Linked DNA regions of Arabidopsis thaliana. The protein of the gene in region 1 interacts with the protein of each later gene in a pairwise test. Each region holds a gene or a part of one and is shown on either strand. Other genes may lie near its edges.

What was found.
Region 2: the proteins of AT2G39750 (region 1) and AT2G30160 interact in a protein complementation assay, tested with the Arabidopsis thaliana proteins (one large-scale study listed by BioGRID).

What each region holds. Positions count from the first base shown.
Region 1 is NC_003071.7:16,575,091-16,584,400, forward strand, and holds AT2G39750 (S-adenosyl-L-methionine-dependent methyltransferases superfamily protein), read right to left. Parts: upstream 7,347-9,310; 5' UTR 7,192-7,346; coding exon 6,466-7,191; intron 6,374-6,465; coding exon 6,224-6,373; intron 6,129-6,223; coding exon 5,858-6,128; intron 5,700-5,857; coding exon 5,589-5,699; intron 5,371-5,588; coding exon 5,211-5,370; intron 4,963-5,210; coding exon 4,705-4,962; intron 4,624-4,704; coding exon 4,501-4,623; intron 4,294-4,500; coding exon 4,216-4,293; intron 4,104-4,215; coding exon 3,896-4,103; 3' UTR 3,734-3,895; downstream 1-3,733. Other genes in the region: HESO1 (Nucleotidyltransferase family protein), read left to right, coding at 1,160-1,298, 1,565-1,729, 1,873-2,051, 2,143-2,238, 2,342-2,411, 2,508-2,638, 2,752-2,862, 2,970-3,614; BPM3 (BTB/POZ/MATH-domains containing protein), read left to right, coding at 8,123-8,511, 8,997-9,310.
Region 2 is NC_003071.7:12,875,143-12,882,344, reverse strand, and holds AT2G30160 (Mitochondrial substrate carrier family protein), read right to left. Parts: upstream 4,547-7,202; 5' UTR 4,330-4,546; coding exon 3,541-4,329; intron 3,175-3,540; coding exon 2,968-3,174; 3' UTR 2,684-2,967; downstream 1-2,683. Other genes in the region: PBCP (Protein phosphatase 2C family protein), read left to right, coding at 871-995, 1,083-1,134, 1,245-1,324, 1,415-1,567, 1,657-1,736, 1,820-1,917, 1,995-2,118, 2,189-2,271 and 2 more; AT2G30150 (UDP-Glycosyltransferase superfamily protein), read right to left, coding at 6,223-7,100, 7,195-7,202.

The DNA of each region.
Region 1 (9,310 bases):
ACTATATATTTACATAGGACTTTCAAAAAAGTTATTATCTTATTAATTTATCGATGTGTTACACTTTTTACATTGGTCCTAACTTGGGATCTGGTGAATTTATTAATTTATAGAGGTTACTAATTTATCGAGTATTAATTTATGGAGGTTTAACTGTAAAAAGAGTTGAGGTTACCATTGCAATAAAATATGAGACAATGTGTAGAGGAGGATAAAAGATTGAACAAAAAGAAGAAAGCCAACTAGTTTTTGTCAAAAGGATAATTTTCCATGTGCATGCAAGTATGCAACCACATCAAAATCATAAATAAACATTGTCTAAAATGTTTCTAATAAAAATAGATGTAAAGAAAATTCATCAGTTTAATAACTAGGGTTTAAGAGATATTTACAAATACTAACCATTAACATCATATTTAATATGACTTTGTAAAATCTATGATCAAATAACATGCAATTTTTTTAATATGTAAAATAAATTATCTCAAAATATTTGATTGAATATATACCCTTTAATTTAGCATTGATTTTAAAAATCCAACAATTTTCTATAGTATATTTTGTAATAATGTTATTGGTTCCTAAAAAAGATGGTCACATCATTCATTAAATAAAATGAAATAAAGAAGTGTTTCCTTCGTCGCATTGAATAAAATAAAGTAAACCTTCCAAAGACTTTTCATTGTCTTCGCCTGCGAGCGCTAAAATTATCTCCGAGCATTCTCAAGTTGGGTGATTCGGTACGGATTACTGATTTGGGAGAGAAAAACCCTAGATTGGAATTAGATTCTGGGTTCTTGGGCTAAAGGTTTCTTCATCTCCTTCGAATCATCCTTTTGTAAGTCCAGTGGATGTGAAAACCCAGTACTCACTGATTCTTTTTATTAGGAATTTTGTAAGGTTTTGGGTAGAGTTTTCACAGTTTTGATGATACTAAAATGTGGGCCACTGGGTCTAGAGAATGAAGAATCTTGCTTTTAGTGACAAAGGTTGTTCCTTTGGAGTAGTAAGTGAGCAAGATATCAGAAAAACTGAACCTTTAATCTCAAGAATTTACTTTGATTGGAGCTTGTGAAGTCCTTGTGTTATTGTTGCATGATGTTTTCTTTGAGATAACTTGGCAATGTGTGTTTGGTGTTATTGTAGAGGGAGCAAGACGATGAGTAGAAACCCTTTCCTGGATCCTACTCTTCAAGAAATTCTTCAAGTGATTAAACCCACACGAGCAGATAGGGATACGAGGATCACAGTCATTGATCAGTTGCGTGACGTCTTACAATCCGTAGAATGTTTAAGAGGTGATGACTCTTGATGCACTTTTGTGCTTCTCCCATTTTTCTTACTGTCTAGTACTGCCTTGAACCATACCAGCCATGGATGTGATTATGATATTGGATATGAAAGTGAGATACTTCGAGCTTTCAGTAAGGTAATATCTGCTGGAATTGTAGCTGCAGAATAGTAGAAGTGGTTCATGTTACTCTTTCGCACTATTCTCGTTCTGGAAACAAATTATTTCATGTGATGCTTATAGCCGCTCGTTGTCTGGTTCTGTGATTGTTAGGTGCTACTGTTCAACCATTTGGATCCTTTGTGTCAAATCTCTTCACACGATGGGGAGACTTAGATATCTCTGTTGACTTATTCAGCGGTTCTTCCATCTTGTTCACTGGAAAGAAGCAGAAACAAACTTTACTCGGACATTTACTACGAGCACTGAGAGCGAGTGGTGATTCATTTAGCTTCTATTTTTTTCTTCTTTTTTTGGTTTTCTCTTTGCTTCACTGTTGTTTACCTTATATACTACTTAAGTAGTTTAAGTATTATTTCATGTGCCGATTTGTCTCACATCCATTATCATTCAAAAAACAGGTCTATGGTACAAACTGCAATTTGTTATTCATGCGCGAGTTCCTATTCTGAAAGTAGTGAGCGGCCACCAGAGAATTTCTTGTGACATTTCTATTGATAACCTGGATGGGCTTTTGAAGAGCAGGTTCTTGTTCTGGATCAGTGAAATAGATGGGAGATTCCGCGACCTGGTTTTGCTAGTAAGTTAACATGCAAATAAAACCATATTGTGTGTTTCCAAAGGTTTAATTGATTCTAAACGTATCTACCTCGTGTATTCTACATTTGTAGGTGAAGGAATGGGCGAAAGCTCATAATATCAACGACTCAAAGACCGGGACTTTCAACTCTTACTCTCTCAGTTTGTTAGTCATCTTCCATTTTCAGGTAAGATAGCTGTTCTGTATTCATAGATTTTGCTGCCTTCAGCCTTCTGCAGTTACTGCATCATTAGAAACCATAGTAAGATGTTCTATGTTGTTTGTTGCAGACTTGTGTGCCTGCAATCTTGCCGCCTCTAAGAGTGATATATCCGAAGAGTGCGGTTGATGATCTGACAGGTACGCTCAATGAAAAGGTTTTGAAGCCAAACCACACAAAATATATGTGTTTTTGGGGTAAAGGGACAAAAGTTTTAGCGGTATGGTGTCTTGTAGGTGTACGGAAAACTGCAGAGGAAAGCATAGCGCAAGTTACTGCTGCTAATATTGCGAGATTTAAATCAGAGAGAGCAAAATCAGTCAATCGAAGCTCGCTCTCGGAGCTGTTGGTCTCTTTTTTTGCAAAGGTGATTGATTTCTCATACATTCTAGCTTTAATTTTTTTCCCTTAATAATATCCACTAAAGTGCTCTTGATAGAAATTAGTATCTTGATTTTGCTGTGTGGCTGTATCTATCAGTTTTCAGACATAAACGTGAAGGCCCAAGAGTTCGGTGTTTGCCCGTTTACTGGAAGATGGGAAACTATAAGCAGCAACACTACATGGCTGCCAAAGACATACTCACTCTTTGTTAGTCTCTTTCTCTTTCTTTCTCTTAACCTCTTGTTGAGTTATATTCATCTCTATGGCACCATGTGAGTCTCCCGGCTAACATGTGGGAATGGTGTGTGTTTCAGGTTGAAGATCCTTTTGAGCAGCCGGTGAACGCTGCAAGGAGTGTGAGCCGTAGAAATTTGGACAGAATAGCTCAAGTATTTCAGATTACATCGCGCCGTCTTGTCTCAGAGTGTAACAGAAACTCCATCATAGGGATTCTGACAGGGCAACACATTCAAGAGTCTTTGTACAGAACAATAAGCCTCCCAAGTCAACATCATGCAAACGGTATGCACAATGTCCGTAATCTGCATGGTCAGGCTAGGCCACAGAACCAGCAAATGCAGCAAAATTGGTCACAGAGCTACAATACCCCGAATCCACCACATTGGCCACCACTAACACAATCCCGACCACAACAGAATTGGACTCAGAACAACCCCAGGAATCTTCAGGGGCAACCACCTGTCCAAGGCCAAACTTGGCCTGTAATCACACAAACTCAAACGCAGCAGAAGAGCCCATATAAGAGTGGGAACCGACCATTGAAAAATACATCTGCTGGTTCAAGTCAGAATCAGGGCCACATTGGTAAGCCATCTGGTCATATGAATGGTGTGAACTCTGCAAGACCTGCATATACGAATGGTGTGAACTCCGCAAGGCCTCCATCAAAAATTCCAAGCCAAGGCGGACAGATCTGGAGACCGAGACATGAGCAGTAGAATGAGGTGTGCAGACATGGTTCAGAGATACTCCTTCACATATTTTGGATGATTTTGTATTCTGACCTTGGGGCTTTTTTTCTATGGATCCATTCGTTACAATCAACAGATTTGCAATAGCAGAATGTTGTTACTAAAAAATGAGGACGAGGTAAACTTTTACTCAGTAAAACACCACAATCAAATTTACAGTTACATTAAGAGAAAAAAGAAGAAAACAATAAGAGATATACTACCAAACAAAATATATTGTGTTGACTAGTGCAGTAACTTGTGTGGTATTAAGCTCGAAGGAGACGCTTCTCGCATGTTAGAATCCTGTAACTTGCGTGAGGACCCTCGGATGTGTCACGCAGAGAAGTATGCCAACCCATGGCCTTTGTGATTTCTTGAATTTCATCCATAACATCAATTGAATCCCTAATGTATGCTCTTCCACCGGGTCTTAATATCCGGTCCATCTCTAACAATATGGTTGACATCTCACATCTGATAATATTCAGACAAGACAAATGGTTAAACTCAACTATAGGCACCACACGATCATAGATTAAAAATTTATAAATCACTTTGAACTTGAGTTACAGATAATGATGCTTACCTTTTTCTCTCGATCGAGAAGAGTCCAGAGGCATGTAAGAAGTCATATGTCCGTGGGTATGTATCAAATGGTTCACACCTGAGGTAGAATGCATCACTTATTAAAAAAATATCCAGAGCCAGAGACTAAATCTTAGTTTACCTTAAGACACATAAACAGATGAACTTTTGTGTTTAAAAAACATGAACAGAGAAAAGGACAAGATGAATCACTAATTTCCAAGGTTTCAACTATAGGATTCCAAATTCTGATTTCATATGACAGATTCTAAGGAGAAAACAGTACCAATCGTGCATCACTCCTAACAGTCCACGGTCATAAATGACAGGCAATGTGTTAGGCCCACTGACAGGAACCACGCTTAGAACCCAGCAATCGAGTTTATGATCATTTAGTGCAGCTGCAAATCTGCCAAAGCCAAAGGAATAAATGAAGAGAGATAAGCTAAGATACCTGTATAATACCTAACAAAGAAATATTATTTCATACCCGCCAAAGCCTGCTCTCATGTCCAAAACATTTCTTAGTTTCATCTTTTTCCATTTTAAGGCGCGAACATAGCCCCCAATTATTTCATTCCAATATTTTGATTCTGCCTTGAATAGCTCTTTCCTAGCAATGTAGGAATCAAATTTTATCGTCTGCAGCCTATCAGGTGGAGTATGCAGACGGGCAGGCCATAAGGGGACGTTTCCTCCGTACCCTTTCTCAGGTATGCGACTGATGCAAGGTTTCAGATTTGTGTACCTAAAACAACAATAAATCAACATGAGGCATAAAAAATGTGATATTTTGCACACATTGTCACAGACAAGTTAACAGACAGACTAGATGCAATCAAAACAAATCAAATTGAAAAAAAGTTCTGATGCAACTCTGACAGCATTTTAAGAACATGTAGCCTTTATTCTTCTGTTGTTATGCTTCCACATGCAGGTAGCAAGATATGGCCTTGTATCACAAACAAAGAAAAACAGAAAGATTAGCAGCTGTACCAAACATTATCGGGATCATCTGATTCATCACAAAGAGGAGGTTTAGTCCCAGCCTCACGACTCAAATAGCAGTCGTTGTTGAAAGGCTTCTGCCAGATTGCAACGTATCCTTCCTTCTTTACCAATTTCCAGCAGAGGCTAATAGTAAGATTCAGCATTTCTGGAAAACAAAATGTGAGATTAAAAGAGTACACATATTGGCTGAATCAAAGTAGTAATAAAGAAAAAAAAAAACTCTCCTTAAACCCACAGAGACAAACTGTAGTAAATAATAAAGCCACGTACAATGATTACTAACTCCAAAAAGTTTATTAAGACCAAAGAATTTTATCAACCCTGAATTACAGGCCTACTCAAAGCAGATTAAAAGGATGTTACCTGTCCATTGTTCTTCCAAAGCGGGTTCATGCTTATAAACAGGCTGTGCAGCCCAAGCAAAATATCCTCCAGCGCGCAGCATTCTATTGATCTCAAGGAGCAAAATTCCATCTTTATCACAAAGAATGAAACAGCAGAGTGAGAATTTTCTGTACAAGTAATAAAAGCTAGAGCATAGTTCACACAGGGAGTTAAAAATTACAGTAGGTGCAATCTTAATCTTTTTCTGATGTATTAGGTGAAGAATCAAGCACACCATAGAACCTTACCATCACGAGTCCAGTTGATTCTACATCTTGAACAATGAATAAGATCAAAAGCTTGGCTTGGATATAACAAACGCCTTGTCGCAAATGCTGCCGCCATAGCAGGCACACCACGCTCAAGAGCAAATTGAATTTGGTTCTCATGGACATCTTTTGGTGCAACAGACATTGTCATGACATCACGAGACAATAGATAAGCACCAAAACTCGCCACACCACAACCAACATCCATAGCAACCCTAATATGCTTGCCAAACGTAATATCAGAAACCATCTGCAGACACAAACTCCAGAGCTCAACATCAGATGAAAAGATACATAAACAGTTGACGCGAAAAACAAGAACTACTACTTGGAAAAATGAGCCACCTTAGACATCTGGTCCAAGTACTGATCAGCCCCATGAATAAACTGTGTACCACCTCCAGGAAACTTGAACTTGTTCTTGTCTCGTGAAATCCAGTTCTGACCTCCTTTGTCTTCAACAAGCCGAGTATGAGGAACATTGCTAAACCATACCTATCCATAAGTAAATTCCAAATACTACTTAAACTAAATCCCAAGACATGTTATCCAACCAAAATGCAAAACTCATGCAAACAAAGGAGTACCTCGTCACGGCTTTTAGGCCATGGAATCGGCTGACGGTAACCTTTAGGAGGTGGAACTAAGCAATTCAAGCCTTTACCTTTCTCAGGACAATGACGCTCGAATCTCTCACCTCGCTCTGTCGATTTAAGCTTCTTTATCACATCAGTATTATCCAAACAAGGTATATACTCTCTCATACTCTCAGGACACATCCCAAATTTCTTAATTCTAACCCTAGCCTTAGAATCACCGTCGCTTTTCGCCTCAACGATCTCAGTCTGATTCCCCCAATCTTCCACTGTATCACTCTCAACCTCACCCACCTCAAAATCGTCAGACATCACACCGTTCGCATCAACTATCCCAAAGCTCTTAACCGGACCAGGCGGAGGAGGAGGTGAAGGAGAAGGAGGTGGAGGAGGAGGAGGATTAGCTTCCACCTTAACCTTCTCCGTGTCCGCCACCACCGACGGAGGTTGTTGTCGTATTGTGGCGGGGATTTCAATCTGGGTATGGTTAGTAGGAATTATCGCTGATAAATTAAAGACTCTGTTACTATTCGGTGAAACGGAGACCTCCGGGATCGAGCTACCGGAAGTGGAAGAGGAGAAGAAGACGAGCTGTTGGTAGCCATCGTCGGACCAATGCTTGCCTAAGTAGAAGAAAGCGACGGTGACGAAAACTAAGGCGGAGATCTTGATCAGAGTTGGGGATTTGAACAGATCGCCATTAGTGAGAGGCTTCATTAGCTTGCGTGTGAAGGATCAGCGATCTCTGGATCTGCGTAGTGTTGTTGTGTGAGAGAGGATGATTAGTGTAATTTTACAGTTGTTGCTTTTGGATTTTTCTGGCGTTCGGTAAAATTATCACTACAGAAGAATTTGCAGAATTTAGTTAAAAGATCAGAAAGTTGCAGAGAGTTTTATATAAAAAGGGTCTTTTCAATAGCATGTCTTGTTAAAATCTAATTCAGCAAAAAAAAAAAAAAAAAAAAAAATAGTACATGATAGTTTGTTAAACGTTATCGGCAAATGATGAAAAGATTTTACTAAAAACTGGTTTTTTTTAATCATGTGATTGAATATAATCATATTTATAAAATATTTATGTTAAATGTTCTTATGATAAAGTGCGATGAGATTCTAATAGTAATAAATATTTGTTTTACTATTAAAATTATATCACACAGTGCGGTTCAGTCTTCATGCAAATGAATATAATGGTTGAAGCGAACAAATCCGTATACGGATTAAAACGTTTTTCATTTACCTAAAAAATCATTGTAAACTAACAATGGATTGTTTTTACATACAAATATAATTGATTTGTAGCGGTTTGTTGTCCATCTTGTAGATGAAACGGACTAATCGCAAACGGATTTGTCCACCTCGACTGCGATAACCATTCAAACAAGATTGAAAAGAAAGAGAGACAAAGGTTTAAATGAAATTAAGAATGTACAATAATGTTGGCTTATGGTCGTTGGACACTACTTTCGAGCCCATTACATTTAATATCCTTTAAAATAAAAAATAAAGAAGGCGAAAACAGTTTCCCCCAAATTCTCATAATTTTCACAAACAACCTCTCGTCTTCTAGGTTAATCCAATTTCGTCGATTCATGAAGTTCACAATTCTCCCATCGGAAAATTCTTCGTAATCGACGACGAAGAGATCATGAGTACCGTCGGAGGTATAGAGCAGTTGATACCTGATTCCGTTTCAACGTCGTTCATCGAAACGGTGAACGGTTCGCACCAGTTCACGATTCAAGGTTACTCTCTAGCCAAAGGCATGAGCCCTGGGAAGTTTATACAGAGCGATATCTTCTCCGTTGGTGGATACGATTGGGCGATTTACTTCTATCCTGATGGGAAGAACCCGGAGGACCAGTCCTCGTATATCTCTTTGTTCATCGCTTTAGCGAGTGATTCTAATGATATTAGGGCTTTGTTTGAGCTTACGCTTATGGATCAGAGTGGGAAAGGGAAACATAAGGTGCATAGTCACTTTGATCGGGCGCTTGAAGGTGGTCCTTATACACTTAAGTATAAAGGAAGCATGTGGTAATTGCTTCGTTTCCATTTCATTTTGCTGTTGTAGTATGATATAATCGCATTTGTTAGGTTACTGTGGCTTGTTGCATTTAGGTTTTAGTAATGTTGTTTATCTTCTGCTTGAATTGCATGTTGATAGTTTATTTTGCAGAAATGTTTGTGGTGGAATGAGCTGCTAGTGCTTCTCTGTCAGAAGCAATTAAGGAACTTTATCAATGTGTTTGTGCTTTTGTTTGCTTACGGCTAAAATTGTGTAAAGCACAAGTTTTTTTAATTGTATGGTTCATATTGTTCTTTCTCTTTCTTTAAAGTATGGCTTTTGAATCCCTTGAGAGGTTTAAGGTGTGTGCATGTTGCTTTTGAAGTTTCGTGAATCTTTTTTTGAACTCTTGCATCATCTGTTGATTTCATATATTGACTCATTTCCTTGAAAGTGAGGTTTCCTTCTGGAAGTTGGTGTTTTCTCTATCATGACTTATCATCACAAATTTCAGGGGTTACAAACGCTTTTTCAAACGATCAGCTTTAGAAACCTCTGACTACTTAAAGGATGATTGTCTTGTCATCAATTGTACTGTTGGCGTTGTTAGAGCCCGACTCGAGGGTCCAAAACAGTATGGCATTGTGCTACCCCTGTCGAATATGGGTCAGGGATTGAAAGACTTGTTAGATTCTGAAGTTGGTTGTGACATAGCTTTCCAAGTCGGAGATGAAACATACAAAGCTCACAAACTGATTCTCGCGGCACGCTCCCCAGTTTTTAGAGCTCAGTTTTTTGGACCAATTGGGAATAACAATGTGGATAGAA
Region 2 (7,202 bases), 3.7 Mb from region 1:
TTTGGGATTCTCATTTTGACTCGGACACTCTCCACTGAAACTAGTTCTATACCCAATAAGTTGGTAGACCATGGTTTTTTATGAGTTACATTTAGTTTATTCTAAATAATATAATTATAAGAATATGAGTTACGTGTTGAGCTTTGTGGTATTTTAAATGGACAAACTCATGAGTTCTTACAATTAAAACAAGGACTTTCAATAATTAAATAATAAAAAAGCTATAAAACAAAATATAGAAACAATTGTTAATTAAAAGAATTAGAGTAAATTTCCTTAAGAGACCTATTTGAAGTGTTAAGAGTTTTTATAAGAGTTGAAGATTTTCATCCAAATTCATGGATCATTTATTGAATATTATTGACAATATCAATTTTTTGGATGCGAAAAAACTTATCTTTCTTTGAGTATGTCACATAAATGATCGAGTGATTTGGATGTAAGAAAATTAATTAGAAACGTTGGTTTTACCTTTTTTTGGCCGAGATGCTTTATTTCAAGAACAGAAATAGTATGGAATATAGTAAGAGAAATTGAGTGATAATACAAAAAATGTTACTTGAAAAATTTAGTTTACATAAGGGAAAAAAAAAAGAGCTCAGAGGTGTGGCATATCTCAACTGATAATTCAGAAAAATGCAAAGGACCCACCCAATGCTTAAGCCAATATCATCATAGCTTAGTGCACCAGCCGGGAATCGAACCCGGGTCTGTACCGTGGCAGGGTACTATTCTACCACTAGACCACTGGTGCTTATTGATTCTATCTCTTCTAGTTAATAATTATCTCTAAAATTAAACAACCTTCACACACAAAGTACGCACCACCACAGGATTGAAAGAGAACGAGAGAGCAAGCCATTGCAGGAAATGGCGATTCCAGTGACGAGAATGATGGTTCCTCACGCAATACCATCGCTTCGTCTCTCACATCCAAACCCTAGTCGCGTTGACTTCCTCTGTCGCTGTGCTCCATCAGAAATCCAACCACTTCGGTCTCTGCTCTCTCTTGTACTATTTCGAGTTTACGTTGTTCGAAACTGAGAACTCATTTGTCAAAATATGTTTGCATTTTCCTTTAGGCCTGAACTCTCTTTATCTGTCGGAATTCACGCAATCCCTCATCCAGATAAGGTAACACCAGACCAAAGTCTCTGTTTTTCTTCTTTGGATGTAATGAATTTGGATTTGCTTAGAGAATATTTATGCAATTAAAATCGACATCTAGTGTCGAAATTATATAGGTAGAGAAAGGTGGTGAAGATGCTTTCTTTGTAAGTAGTTATAGAGGTGGAGTCATGGCTGTTGCAGATGGTGTCTCCGGGTAAGCTTTAGCTTTTGGTTATGCTAACTTTTGAGTTTCTTTGTGGGTTTATCTTAATGTTGATAAAGTTTATATTTTTTTCTGTCTCAGTTGGGCTGAACAAGATGTTGATCCTTCCTTGTTCTCTAAAGAACTTATGGCTAACGCTTCTCGTTTAGTTGATGACCAAGAGGTCAGATATGATCCTGGTTTTCTCATTGACAAAGCTCATACCGCAACTACTTCTAGAGGTTCTGCCACAATGTGAGTGAGATTTGATTGTTATTCTCTTCAAAGATTGGTTTTTGTTCCCTTTTTGGATAGCTTGATGTCCCGGTTATTGATGAAAGCAGTATTCTAGCTATGCTTGAGGAAGTGGGTATTCTCAAAATAGGCAATGTTGGTGACTGTGGACTTAAGCTTCTTCGGGAAGGTACTACACTGTAACCTAAGATGCTAGATTGTTTTCATGTTCAGCCTTTGACAAAGATCTTCTTCTTTCATTCTCATTTTCAGGTCAGATTATTTTTGCCACTGCTCCACAAGAGCACTATTTTGACTGTCCTTACCAACTAAGCTCTGAGGGGTCTGCTCAAACTTATCTAGATGCATCGGTAAATAAATCCTTACCACTCTTCATGATTTGTGCTAGTATTGTACCTTTGTATCATTTTTTTTGCATTTCAAGCAGTTTAGCATAGTGGAAGTACAGAAGGGAGACGTGATCGTGATGGGTTCAGACGGACTTTTCGATAATGTGTTTGATCATGAGATCGTTTCTATAGTGACCAAGCATACAGATGTTGCAGAGTCATGTATGTATATGTATATACCATCTCTCTTGATTTTTAGTAAGTTACATGTTTTTTGGTATAACCATTACAGCAAGGTTATTAGCTGAAGTGGCGAGTAGCCATTCAAGAGATACAGAGTTTGAGTCTCCATATGCATTAGAAGCAAGAGCCAAGGTAAGATTTTTAACTTGATCTAAGAATGAATTTTACCAGTTCACGCAAAGTATATCTGAATCAACGTATATGTGCAGGGGTTTGATGTTCCTCTCTGGAAGAAGGTACTAGGAAAGAAGCTTACAGGTAAATAAACAACAATGTTGATGCATTATCCTGACATATTATACTAAACAAGAGTAGTTTCTTAGTTGAGATCTCTGGTTCTGAAAATTGCAGGAGGGAAGCTTGATGATGTCACTGTGATCGTTGCCAAAGTTGTTAGCTCATGAATCACTCTGTTCATGATAAGATCTTCTCTTTATTCTTTTTGTACAAGTCCTTGTAAGAAACTTGTTCTTCACAGAAATTGATAAATGGTATTTCAAAGTTCAAACAATAAGAATCGAATCTTTATCATTGACCTTGTGAATGGACACTCTTTAAGCTCATCTATCTCTTTATAGTATCTTTCTCATTAAAACAAATAAAAGTACAAAATTTCTCTATCAATGCAAACCAGAAAAAAGGCCTTGGGGTTGTTGTAACTCTAATCTGATAACATTATTGCGTGAAGAAAACAAATAAATTATACAAACAGAGATCTTCTCTAAGAGCTAGTGTTAATACTAACCAACCAGTAGCTAGCTCTATGAAGAATCAATGACCTGAATCAGGCAAGTAAATTATGCCAAACGCATGTATGTTTGTGTCTTTTCAAGCTGCGTTTGCTTCACCATTGAGATCTTGAAAGAAAGATTTGACTGTTTCATAAGTGGACCAGCAAATCGCAGCTGCTGGAGCATGGAAGAGCATTCTTGGTAGCCATCCTCTAGCAAGTCCTCTATAACCGTCTTTCTTCACTATTGTACGGAACACATCGCTTATTGAACTGCTCTTGAAACGGTCACAACCACACACACCCTGAAACATCACCACAAACAAACTTCTCAGAACAAACAAAACAACCCAAATCCTATGAAATAGCTATTGACCAAGTATTCTAAACCACAAATATAGAAACATTATCTATGCGACTTTCACATGTAAATTCAGTAATATTAAGTTTTATGACCATAGTTCTAACAATGCTTGATGCAATCTACATGTTACCTATAAAATCATACTCGTGAAATCACAAAATATCCAAAGAGAAGAAAGAAGATATCTTTCTTCATTCAAGTGATCTATAGGATCAAGAGACAACTACTTAAAGTAGCTTGGCCAATCTATAACCACATTAGCTATCAGATACTTAAAAGTCAGTAGCTTTAGAGATATTTCAATCACCTGACATTGCAACTGCGTCTTAACAACATCAAGCGGAGTAGTTACAGCAGCCGCTAACCCACCAGCCGCAGCTCCAGCAGTAGCATAAATCAACCAACCTTCCTCATCCTCTGCTCCAACAGCATGCTCAGGCAACATCTCCCTCAAACCTCTCTTAACCGCCTCATAAGTAGTGAAATGCACAGCGGTAAACGGAGCATTCATCAACACAGTAGTTCTATACGAAGCGTAAAAAGCACCAAACCCTTCCTCACGCGTTACTCTCTTGATACAATCCCAAACTCCTTTATAAGTTCCATTCCCAATTTGCAACCTTTGCTTAACCATATCCATTGGAGTAAACACAGCATCACTAGATATAGTAGCGAAAACACCGGAAATAGCGTGTGCAGCAGAGTTATTAGGGTTTCCACCGGATAAAAACTTCTTAGAGACTTCATAGAATGAGAAATAAACAGCGTGAGCTGGTCCAGCACCAAGTCCCATAGCCCAAATACCTCTATATAAAGCAGAAGGTCCATCGGTTTTGATAATTGAACGGAAAGCTTGACGGATTCCGATTGGTTTAATCGGACATGAACGAAGAGCTTGCATATGGGTTTTGACTGTATCTACTGGAAACATAGCCATGTGTTCGACTGAGCCAGCGATTGAACCGGCGACCATTAGTTGCCAGAATTTAAGAGTTGTGTTTTGAGCTGGAACGATGATTGCTGGATGAAAATCCGGTGGTTGTGGGATTGGACGGAGATCGGATTCTGGGAATTTGGTTGTTGCTTCTGTTGCCATTGTTTAGAATTGATTGAGAGAAAGGTTTGAGCTTTTAGGGAGATTAGGAGGAAGATGAATCTGAAGGAGGAGAGGTTTGGTTAAATTAGGGTTCCGAGAAGATTGGAGAAATGACCAAATCTGGAGATTTCTCCGACCAGAGAGAGAGGATGCGGCGGTTAAACTAAAGACAAAGCATGGGAGAAACCTCTGCCTTGTCTTGTGGGCTTTAACATCTTTTTCCCCAAGTAAAAATATATTTTTTGCCTTTTTACGTTTTTGCCTCTTTAGTGTTTTTTACCAAAACAAAAACGTACTTTTTTACTTTTTTTTTTTTTTTAAATCGTACTTTAATTTAAGCGATATGAACCTAACCAAAAAAACTTATTAGATTATGTTTATATTATGAATACGAATATTATTTTTTTGTCATCGTAAATTTTTAAAACTTTGGTAGAATTTAAATGTACACAAGTGGAAAAAAATTTATCCCTTGAAAACTAATAAGTGTTATCTATATTATTAATTGAGAAGTATTGTATGAACTACAACATTGTAAGGGTAGTTTAAAATTAAGTAAATGAATTTTTGCATGGGTAGTTTAGTAAATTAACAATCACTACAACAAAATAAATATCTTGGATTTTGTTCTTTTAAAAAATCGACTTTAAAATCAATATATTCATAATTACCCAATCCCTCGATTTTTAAATATACAAATTATTTTTAAATATATTAATCCAAGATGTACCACATGTCAATCCCTCGATTTTTTTATTATATTACAATAACAATATTTAAAATAACAAAATAATTTTTCATTTTACGGAATGAAATTATATGGTGGGATGAGTTTGAGTTGATATTAATAAAGGACGATAATCTACGAGTGAAATTTTAGAATTAATAATTATAACATAATTATATATTCTTAAACATTAAACAAAATAAACAATATTTACAAAATAACTATATCTTAAAATTTGAATTTTTAGTTACAAAAAAATCGACCAAAGGTGTACCACGGAGAAAATTTTACATTATATCATCTAATTGATCAAATTTCAAACAAAAACAATCAATTTATATATACATCAAACTAACAAAAATACACAAATTTTCTAAATATCTCTATATTATTCTACAAATCGAAACAAATCTAACAATCTATTTACTATGCAAAATACAAATAAAATATAAATAATATAAATTACAAAAAATAGCTATTTTATCATAAATAACACTTTACACTTTTTATGCATATTATAATTTATACACTATAATATCTTTCACTAAAAATATATTCCAATACATTTTTAAAAATATGAAACCCCGCACGTATACGTGCGGGTCAGAATCTAGTTATTTATAAACCGATAATTCTTAAAAACGAAGAACTCAAATCAAAAATAAAGTAAAAAAAAAATTGTCCTAAAGCATTAGATATCAAGTAAAATATTAAATTTACTGCAAAATATGTTAAAATATTGGTAGATAAAACATGAGATGTGTGAAAATCATTCCTATTAAGATCAGATTTTAGAATTTTATGCAGAATTGGAGTATTTTCTCTAACAAACTGAATAAAATCTTTACAAATCTACAGCTACAGCTTACACTTACATCCAATATTCTACAGCAAATAATCTACAGCTATAGTGTAACCAATCAGCCAGTAAGCTTTACCAAAATCAATTCATTTCATAAATTATTTTCTATATTTGTCTCCTCACAATTCATTTCCAAAGTCAAACAAAAATTAGGCACACACGAGATTAAGCTCTACCAAAGAGTCTAACAAATGAACTTATAAATAACAGTTTTACAAACAATCTTAAATCTCTACAAAGTTTGAATCTTTAACAAACTTATACAAATACTAATATAGACTTGAATCATTAACAACAATAGAACTCACACGATCTTAGTAATATCTTTAATGAAAGCATCGATGTTAGCATCAGAAGAACCACCTTTCGCAACCGCTCCACGACATATCTCACTGAGATCACAAGTCCTTCTTCTCATCTCTTTCCCTTCTTCACTCTCTCCATCCATAAACCTTTTTACCAATTCCTTGATCTCATCACTCACTATCAACAACTCCATCTGCTTCTTCCTCTCGATCCCCATTCCAACTCTCCACTCCTCAACAATCATCTTAGCATTCAGAAACTGATCCCAAAAAACAGGAAATGTAAGCAACGGTACTCCCGAACATATCCCTTCCAATGTCGAGTTATACCCGCAATGCGTCCAAAACCCGCCTATAGCCGCATGACACAAAACACGTAGCTGATCACACCAGCTCACCACAACACCCAAGCTACCTTCAAGAGCCTCCTTAAGCTTTAACTCACCCCCACGAGCCACCCAAAAGAACTTAACTCCAGCCTCTCTAACTCCTACAACAATCTCCTCCATCTGAGCTTCGGAGACTGAAAGAAAACTCCCTTGAGATATGTAAAGAACAGAGCTTTCAGGTTGCTCATCAAGCCACTTAAAGTAATCAAGTTCTCTATTCTCATTTCCAACGGATAGTTCTTCCAAGGGTATTAACGGACCAGTGGAGTAAACCGGGAAATCAAACTTGGAAGTGAAAAAGTCAATGGCTTTTGGTTCGAGCTCATAAGCAGAAGGGAAGAGAAGATACTTAGCTTTATAAAGCTCACCGAAAGACTTTTTGAATATATTGAAGACTTGATGACTATAGCCGTGTAAGATCTGTAAGTCACTGAGTCTTGTCGGAGATAAACCGGGGATGTAATCAACAATCTCGTCTAGTTTTGATTCTGGAAACAAACCCGGATTCAGAAATCACTAATTATGGATGAAAGTATTGAACTTTACGGTTTTGATCAGTAAAAATGGGAACTTTGTAACTACCTGATGGT